Tribolium castaneum: one gene and its partner. The protein of the gene in region 2 purifies or fractionates together with the protein of the main gene of each other region. This does not show direct contact. Links are inferred from orthologs where the notes say so. Each region holds a gene or a part of one and is shown on either strand. Other genes may lie near its edges. The genes, in order: aPKC and l(2)gl.

Region 1 (4,551 bases), about 1.3 Mb from region 2:
CAAAGAAATATATTGCGAATGGGTTGCCTAAAAATATGTTCAAAACTATGATTAAGGGAGCAAAAAATAGTTAAATTTTAGCCATTTTCCGCAGTTATTTACAACCGTTTTATGAAACATTTTTAAAAATATTTTACTGGAAACATTCTTCCACTCGGGCTCTAGAGAAAAAAGTCTTTTAAAATGCAGTCATTGTTTTATTTAATTCAGAAAAAAATTCTGAAAATTGAAAAAAAATCTTGTACTCTGAAAATTTTTTCCAACCAGTAAAACTAATTTTATCATATACAAACATTGTTTGTTTTTTCTTGAAAAAAACGGCAAACTTTTAATACCTATTACGATCCCACATTCATTTATAGACACTTTGTACTTCTATTATAGTACAATCCATTCACGATTAATTATCAGATAAGTTTTTTTTGACAGATATATCAAACACTAAATTCCATTCTACATCATAATCAATAATTTAAATCTGAATTTACCAAAAATTTGTTTCTTAATCCGAAAATGCTAAAAAAACCAAAATTTCTACTTAAATTTCCAGTACTACCACCTCTCTGTTGACATAGGATTTCACAATGCATTATTGGTAATATAGGTCAGTGGCGCCTTTTTTTGAAAAAACGTTAACTTCTAAAAAAAACCGTGTCTCATGTTAGGAACTATTAAGTCATAATATAATACGCATCTTTTCTATAAACAAACCAAATAAAAATTGTAATCTATGATTTCTCATAAAAGAAACAGAAGGTTCAATGTTTGATTTTTAAAATCCGAAAAAAAATATTTGAGGGACTATGACTAAGTTTTAATTACGATATAATATAATAAACATTTGGTGATTTTTTTATTCTTATTGGTGGAAAATTAATTAAAAAAATTTATCAATGTACCTATAAGAGAAAACGTTGCATTATTCTCCTACACGTAAAGAAAAAATGGCACTATCTGTGAAATCATTCACAAATAATGGGCAACTTTTCTTTACTTGTACAGGACGCTCAAAAACTGGGGTACCAACAAATGGAAAATAGAACAAATCTTAAATTAAAAAAGTAAAATTGGATCGACAAACCTATTTTGTTAACTTCTTCAGTTTTCATTATTTTTTTAATGTTTTTATGTTTTGCATTAAATAATCTATCCAGAACACATGATGAATAATTATTTTTATTCCTCGACACTGTCAAAATGTCTGGTTTTTCCTCCTGTGTAAGTTTTGACAACTGTTTGGTAGTTCTCAAAAAGAAACGTCAGATTATTTTTTAATAGATTTAAAGCAATTTTAAGCCTTGTTGTCATTTATTTAAAATTCGTTATTCGGTAACTTTAATACACATATTTTTAACTATTTTTCCTTTTTTACGTACGCTTTTTTCTACCATATACCAGAGTTGGTGCGCCGGTTTTTGAGCACCCTGTATAATAAACTACTATGTGTCTTAAGTTTGAACCTCTAAAAATACATTTACGATTTGAATTATTAAAAAGTTAAGCAGTAGGCACCTTTGACAAAGAAACCTTTTTTTAAACGCTGATTTTTAAACAGAGGTTAGTTACTTGGTAAGAAAGTTCTAATTACAGAATCGTAATCCATGCATAATGAATAATGATTAATGACTTTGGTTCAATTCCGTCAAAGGATTTACAAAAAATTTAAATAAAAAAACGACTAGATACGTAAATAAATAATAATTAAGCTACAAAAGAAAATCAGATGATAATACTTTTGTAGCATTAGCCCATTTAACATTGGATACCGAAACAACTAAATGACTTAGATAAACAACACATTTTCCATTACAACAAATATTTATTTTATTAAAATGCAATTGTAATGTTTAGAAGTGATTTTTTTTCATTACCAGCCAACAATAGCCTGATGTGAAGACACGCCAAAGAATAACAAAGCGTGATATTATATTGAAAGCTTGGAGACAATATGCATTTAAAAAGCTCATTTATTCCATTAAAATGTTGCAATAATAGAAAGTCAAGCAAGAGCAACGACATTACAAAACACGTAAAATAAAAAACGATTAACTCTGAACGTTTGGTTTATAATAATTATGATAAGAAATTTATAGACTATTGTGCACACGTTTCGTTTCGCAAAATCAATTTCAGCGATTTTATTCGTTGGATATTTACGATCGGCTAATAAATGTAACATTAGAGCACTACTGAAATCGCACCCTTTTAAGCGAAATTCGTTGCCGGACGCGTGTTTGACCCGGATCGGGGGTGCAACAAAAGCAAATGAATTTTTTCATGCCACACCGACAAACCTGTGGCATATCCGGGCTCCGAGCTGCTATCATCGTCCGAAAAGGACAACTGCTTATGATGGTATTCTATGTAAGTCGGGTGGTGGTGGTAGAGATGATGTGGAACTGCATACTCCACCGCCGTATGTTTACTCCCGACCCTCGTCAAAGTGTTACCCGCAGACAACGTCCCTCCCTGTTTACTACTATGAGCAGCACACAAGATCCCCGCCAGGGCACCTTGCGGCCCAACCAGCGACAAATCCAACGAGGGCCGCCTCGAAAACGCCGCCACTTCCTCGAACTCGCCTTGCAATTGGCCGCTGGACGACGACGTCGTCGTGTTATTGTTGGAATTGACGGGGGCCCCAGCGTACGTTTGAGACACCGAGGGGCGATCTTCGATACTGACGGGCAAGCTTTGCTGGTGGTTGTTGACGGTGCCATTCTGGTTCCTTCGGGGGCTGCGGCCGCGGTCCGACACTGTCGTAGCGCTCCAATAACCCCAAGCCATGACGCCAGCGACGGTTTAAAGACGCATATCACAAGGGGGCTCAAATGACGACGCAATTAATTATTAAATCAACTACGACCCGCCTAAAAAACACTCACCTACTACGGGGTTAAATAAGGGGGAAAGCGTCGCGACGCCACCTGAGTGAATCGTTCGTTGATTTTTTGTTCGAAATTAATTTACGGAAGAGGGGTTTGCGAATAAGCGGACAGGTACTGAAAACTAACGACGGGGGACGTGTGTGGCAGCGTTGCCGGTGCGTTGGACGTCGCGACGCCGCGATAGATGAAGGGATGGCGAGACGGCGCCGATTTGGCAATCACGCAGACGTCAGGCCGGGGACAACTACGGTGGCGCCTTTGAATCGATACCGACGAAGGGCCGGAGCGTTTTGGGCAGTTGGAGATGCCGCACATAGGTGGCTTAGGCGTGATAAAAATCATGATAAAGGAATTATAGGTTTGGGACTTGTCTCAATTATTAATCGACTTGTGCGAACGTTACTGTTCTCTCATTTTTTTCTTTGAATTCCTTCACAGAAGGGTTATTTTAAGATCTATGTAAAAATATTAGGTATGCTTAGAAAATAGAAGCAAAAAATTTGTGGTGTTTTCTATGCATTTGACCACATACAGCGAATTGAAAATTTTCATCATTGACTCTTAAATGTTAGATTTTTTTATAAAAGCCGTGGATACTAACCCCCAGACGCACCTAAAATTATTTTCAAATACAGGGTGATTCATTAATAGACCGCCAAATTTTATCACAGCTTTCCAAGGATACGTAGAGACGATCTGTACCATATTCACGTTTTTATTTCGTAGGGGTAGAAACCCCTTAATCAGTGTCACTTATGGCGCTCATGAGTTTAAGTTAGTTGTATTGGAAAAAACTGAGCTCTGATCAATACCATTGTCTTCAAACGATTATCATGCTTTCCACTAACTGTACTAACACTAATTAACTGTACTATCAGTGGCGTACGTTTTATCTCCAACATAACTTTAAAAAAATACCGCAAAAACAGTTATGAAAAGAATGTTACCATTTTTCCCAGCATGTACTCATTTGATATTACCATGGGTAGAATTCTGACAGTTTGAAGTTAGTTTTTTTTAATGAAACACCCTATATTTTTGCATTTTTTGATGTAGCTTTTAACAATAATGTTTTTCAAGCTAAATTGTTATTGATCGATTTTGCTTAGTTTTTAAAATACAGTGAAACTCGGTTACAACGAACCCGGTTTATAATGAAAGCGCGGATATAACGAACAACATTGAAAATCCCGTTTTAAAGCCATATACAATGTGTTAAAAAATGATTGTTCATCAAGTTGACTATGGAATTTAATTTCAATGTGCCGCTTTGTCTAAATGACTTTTGTAGTTTCTCTGTCAAATCTTTGAATTAGCTTTTTACGTATTTTTTTGCATTTTTCGGCAAAGTTGTTTCAAATGTAGGGTTTATTTTGATTTGTGTTTTATATTTCCGTGATTTTTGTTGTTGTGTATTCTTTCATTTTTTGATTCGAAGCCCTTTTGCATTATTTTGACGGATCTATCACTTTAACGGCAAACACAATTCATCACATTACGTTCAAATTTCATAGGTGACTTAATGAACAACCATATTTGAATATATTGTATTTTAGTAACAAATAAATTTGGTTAATGCAAACATACGAACTTCGTTTACAACGAACGCTTGTTTTCAATGGTACATTGTTTACATTCCGACAGAAATTCTTTGCAATTTCTT
Region 2 (3,826 bases):
AGTAGTAAAAATAGAATTCAAAATTGCCAACTCAAACAGACATTTTTGATGACTTGTAAGAGCGGACTTTTTAATTTTTAATTAAAATAATCGCTCTAAACTAAACTGTTCATAATTTAACAATTGTGTTATCTGGTGGTCGATTTTTAATTATAATAAGTGTAAAAATATACCAAATCTTTGAGTCAAAACAAAACCTTGGTTTTGAATGAAATTCTTCTTAAAAAAAAAGGTGGTGTTTCTGCAGAAGAAGCATTTTGAAGACTGCTTTAATTCTCTAATTTTATATTTCCATAGGAAAAAGATGAGGAAGAATAAAAAAAGAAATACTTTCTCAGGGAGTTTTAATTTAGGCACTCAGAGAGCAAATTTGTTTTTTAATTAAGAAGACGTAGGCAATGTTTTTGTTCACAGTTGCTGGCTAAAAAAAGTCATATCAGAGACGAATTTACCAAATCGTTTTATTTTGGCAAAAACTGAAGATTTTTGAGGAAGAACCATTATTTTTTCTTCCTAGTTTATTATAAATGTGCCAAATAGCTTAGAAATGACTGCGAAAATAATGTATTTTGAGCCACTTGCAGGCCATTATATTAAAAATAAATTCACCAGAATGAATCGATAACCCAAGTTTAAAACTCCCAGATTCCATAACCGGACTTTTGTCATTTCCCTGAATAGAAGTATGTAACTAAATGTATTTGAAAAAGTGTGTTGGTAGAAACCCTCGTTTAATTACCTGCAAACCGATCGTTGTTTTCTTTTTTCTATTTTAAATTAAATTTCAATTTTTAATTAAGAAATACCTACTCACATTTCATTTCAAAACAACAGTTTTATCTTTTTGTAAATATTGTTCTTAAATTACCTGAAAACAATTATTATAAATCACAAACTGTTTCGCAATACATTAATTTTCATACAATGCGGTACTTTAGATAAGAGTATAACAATAAATATAAACTACATAAGTTTTCCTTCTATTAATATATTGACTATTCAGAGAAATTTTATTATTACTACTAATAGTGCTAACCTCTTTAACACTTGTAATACACAATTGAAATTAAAAATGTTGTCTTTTACAAGTAAGTCTCTGTTTTCCCCATTTTTCGAATGCAGCGTAAAATTTTCAACCTCGAAAACTATGATTTGTTTTTATGGTTGTGCTAAAACAAACTTTTTAGTTAAGTAATTTTTACCTGTTGAAAACAATTTTAGCTTGGATTTTTCGTTCAAAACACGAAGCACTTCTTGACGCCTTTGTTTGCCGACTGCTCTAATTAGATTGACTCAAAACATGTGACACTAATTGTGTTAAAACCTTGTTCTACTCAGATAAGATAACAGTTATTTATGGAGTCAAGAGGAAAATTAGACATTCTTTTGAATCAAATACTATATTTTTTCTATTTTACTCTAATGTCTGTTAGTAAACTGATTTATTTTACGAACTTTTCTCAAAATAAACCTTAGAAAACTCCAAAATTATATGAAATTTATAAAATTGTGTTATTTTAGCCTTTTCCGAGGAATGTAATTTAGCGAACTTAAATCAAACTATTTGTTTTATTTTGGTCTGTTTTGAATAATTTAGCACGTTTTTGACTTAAAATAATTTGTAAAAAGTTATTTTGGTGTCTTTCAAGAAATTAGTATATTTATTTACAAAGAAACTAATTTATTTCTTGAAATTTTGACAAAATAAGTTTACAAACAACATTAAATCAACAACATTTCGTTCTGTTTAATTTGTTTTTCATCTAAGAAACACATTTATTTCACACAAAATCTTGTCAAAAGTCGTAAAATTGAAAATTGAATTGTTTTAACTTGTTTTAAGAGATTATGCTTATTTTTTTTAAACTTATTTATTTTATCAAATAAGTATAAAAATTACCAGTTTAAATCAAAAGTAAAACATTGACTCGTTTGCTCTTTGTTAACCCAAAAACTCATTTATTTCAACTAAATTCTCTCAAATAAAAAGTCTAAAACTGAAAATTAATAAATTCGAACGGTGTTCGATCAAAAAATTTATTTATTTTGGAAAAAACATTAAACTAGCGTAATGTGCGTTGAGTCAAACTGTTTGGTAAATTAAAAATAGATTTATGTTTAAATTGAACGTTTTAGAAACATTTTTGTTTGTGAGTTTTCACTAATTTTTAAATTTTTCACCAGTTTAACACGTTGTTGAAACAAATTTTTCGACAAAGAAATAATGAAAAATTCGCCGGTTTGGGGATAGAAGTTTTTGCGTTTTTCGCCTGTTTATGCATGTACTCGGTTATTTCTCAAAAATTCTTAAAAAAATTACCAAATTTAATCGAAAACAGTGTGACCCTGCCTCTTTCGAGATCTAAATACATACTTTCGAATTACACATTTAGTTTTTCTGGAGATTTTATCACAAACTACTAACCTACAAGTGTAGTTTACAAAAAATGCTGTCTCGAAGAGAAATAAACGACTTGGGAAAGTGAGTCTTATTTTGACTAATTATGATCTACAAAAAATAATATTTGAATATTTGAAAATTACAGTACATTTTATCGTTTCTTACTGTTTAAAACGTTTTACAGCAGAACTGCGTTAACAACAATCTAAAAAACTACAAAATTTTGACAAGCTCGCTGAAAATTATATTATTAGCCTTATATTTTGTTGAAATACATTTAGAAAACCCAAAAATATATCTGAATTGATGTTATTATTTTGCTCATTTTTTAGCATTTTTTACAAGGTTTATATTTCCGTCTGGTTTTAATTAATTCTTCGATACCTTGAATGTTTTTGGGGCCTAAACATTAACCCATTTCAACCTAGGATTTTTTAAAAGGACGGTTTACACCTGTTTTATCATTTGTGTTTAAATAGCATGTTGCTACTCTTAGGTAGGTGGAGAGACCTAATTATACATTACAAGTGTCAATGTTGAATTCTAAAGTATCAAAACTGGAGCTATCTCAAAAATTAAAAGTGGATTTTTTTATCAATTTTTTGTAGCCCTCTGATCACTAAACCATCAGTTAATGCTGTTTGCACAGAATTTCAACAAAAAATATCTTCCGGGCTATGTGGGTTAAAGAATTTTCTACAACTTTCTTTCTTGTATCTTTAACCGTACTTGCAACGTTAACATTGTGGAAAATATGAAATTTGTCGATTTTCTCGTCTCATTAAGAGAATTTAAACCAATCAATTTTTTAGTCCAGACGGTCAATAAAATGTAGGGGACTGAAAAAGTGGCTAGAAAAAATTTGTTTTTTAATTCCAGGCGGAAGAAGTGCGAGAAAATGGCGAAGAAACTCCCCACAACGTGACAGTTTCTAGCAGCGTCGGCGATATAACAATCGACAGCGTTAAGGATTACCTCGGCTCAGGTGAGGAGCTTAACAGACGCATTTCCGGTATGTGTGTGACGAAGACTGTCACGACAGTCATAAACAGTAGTCAAGACGGTGCCGTAACGTCTTCCAGTACGACCACAACCACAACAAGTGCCCAAGACAACAGTGAGTGTTTGCTTTTGTTTATTTTGTCTTAAGCTTTTTTTCTTGCTCAAAAATATTGTAAAGAGCTTTGTTTATTATTTGCTTTAAATGTGTTCTTTTTGTTGCTTTTGTAGTCATAGAGAGTGACACGGACGGACCTGCACCGACGTTAGAGGTTAGCCCTGTTACACAGTTTTTATTCTAATCGAGCATTGTAGGACTGTTTTCACTTAAATTATATTCCTAACACAATATTAACGTTTCTAATTTTCCAGTTGGCACATGGTCTATTTCTTCGAGACTAACACACGATTAATACAAAAAATAAT

The links.
Region 1: the proteins of l(2)gl (region 2) and aPKC purify together in Drosophila melanogaster (affinity purification with western blotting; 6 studies listed by BioGRID, with this or other methods). This does not show direct contact. The link is inferred for Tribolium castaneum from reciprocal best matches to the Drosophila melanogaster genes l(2)gl and aPKC.

Annotation. Positions count from the first base shown.
Region 1 is NC_087399.1:9,781,254-9,785,804, reverse strand, and holds the start of aPKC (atypical protein kinase C), read right to left. Parts: upstream 3,086-4,551; 5' UTR 2,886-3,085; intron 2,827-2,885; 5' UTR 2,788-2,826; coding exon 2,295-2,787; intron 1-2,294. UniProt on the Drosophila melanogaster protein: Serine/threonine protein kinase which is required for apico-basal cell polarity in the germ line as well as in epithelial and neural precursor cells, for epithelial planar cell polarity and for cell proliferation.
Region 2 is NC_087399.1:11,111,212-11,115,037, reverse strand, and holds part of l(2)gl (lethal(2) giant larvae protein homolog 1), read left to right. Parts: intron 1-327; exon of another isoform or gene 328-868; intron 869-923; exon of another isoform or gene 924-1,322; intron 1,323-3,280; coding exon 3,281-3,518; intron 3,519-3,631; coding exon 3,632-3,672; intron 3,673-3,826. UniProt on the Drosophila melanogaster protein: Essential for the development of polarized epithelia, for cell polarity associated with asymmetric cell division of neuroblasts during development, and for oocyte polarity formation.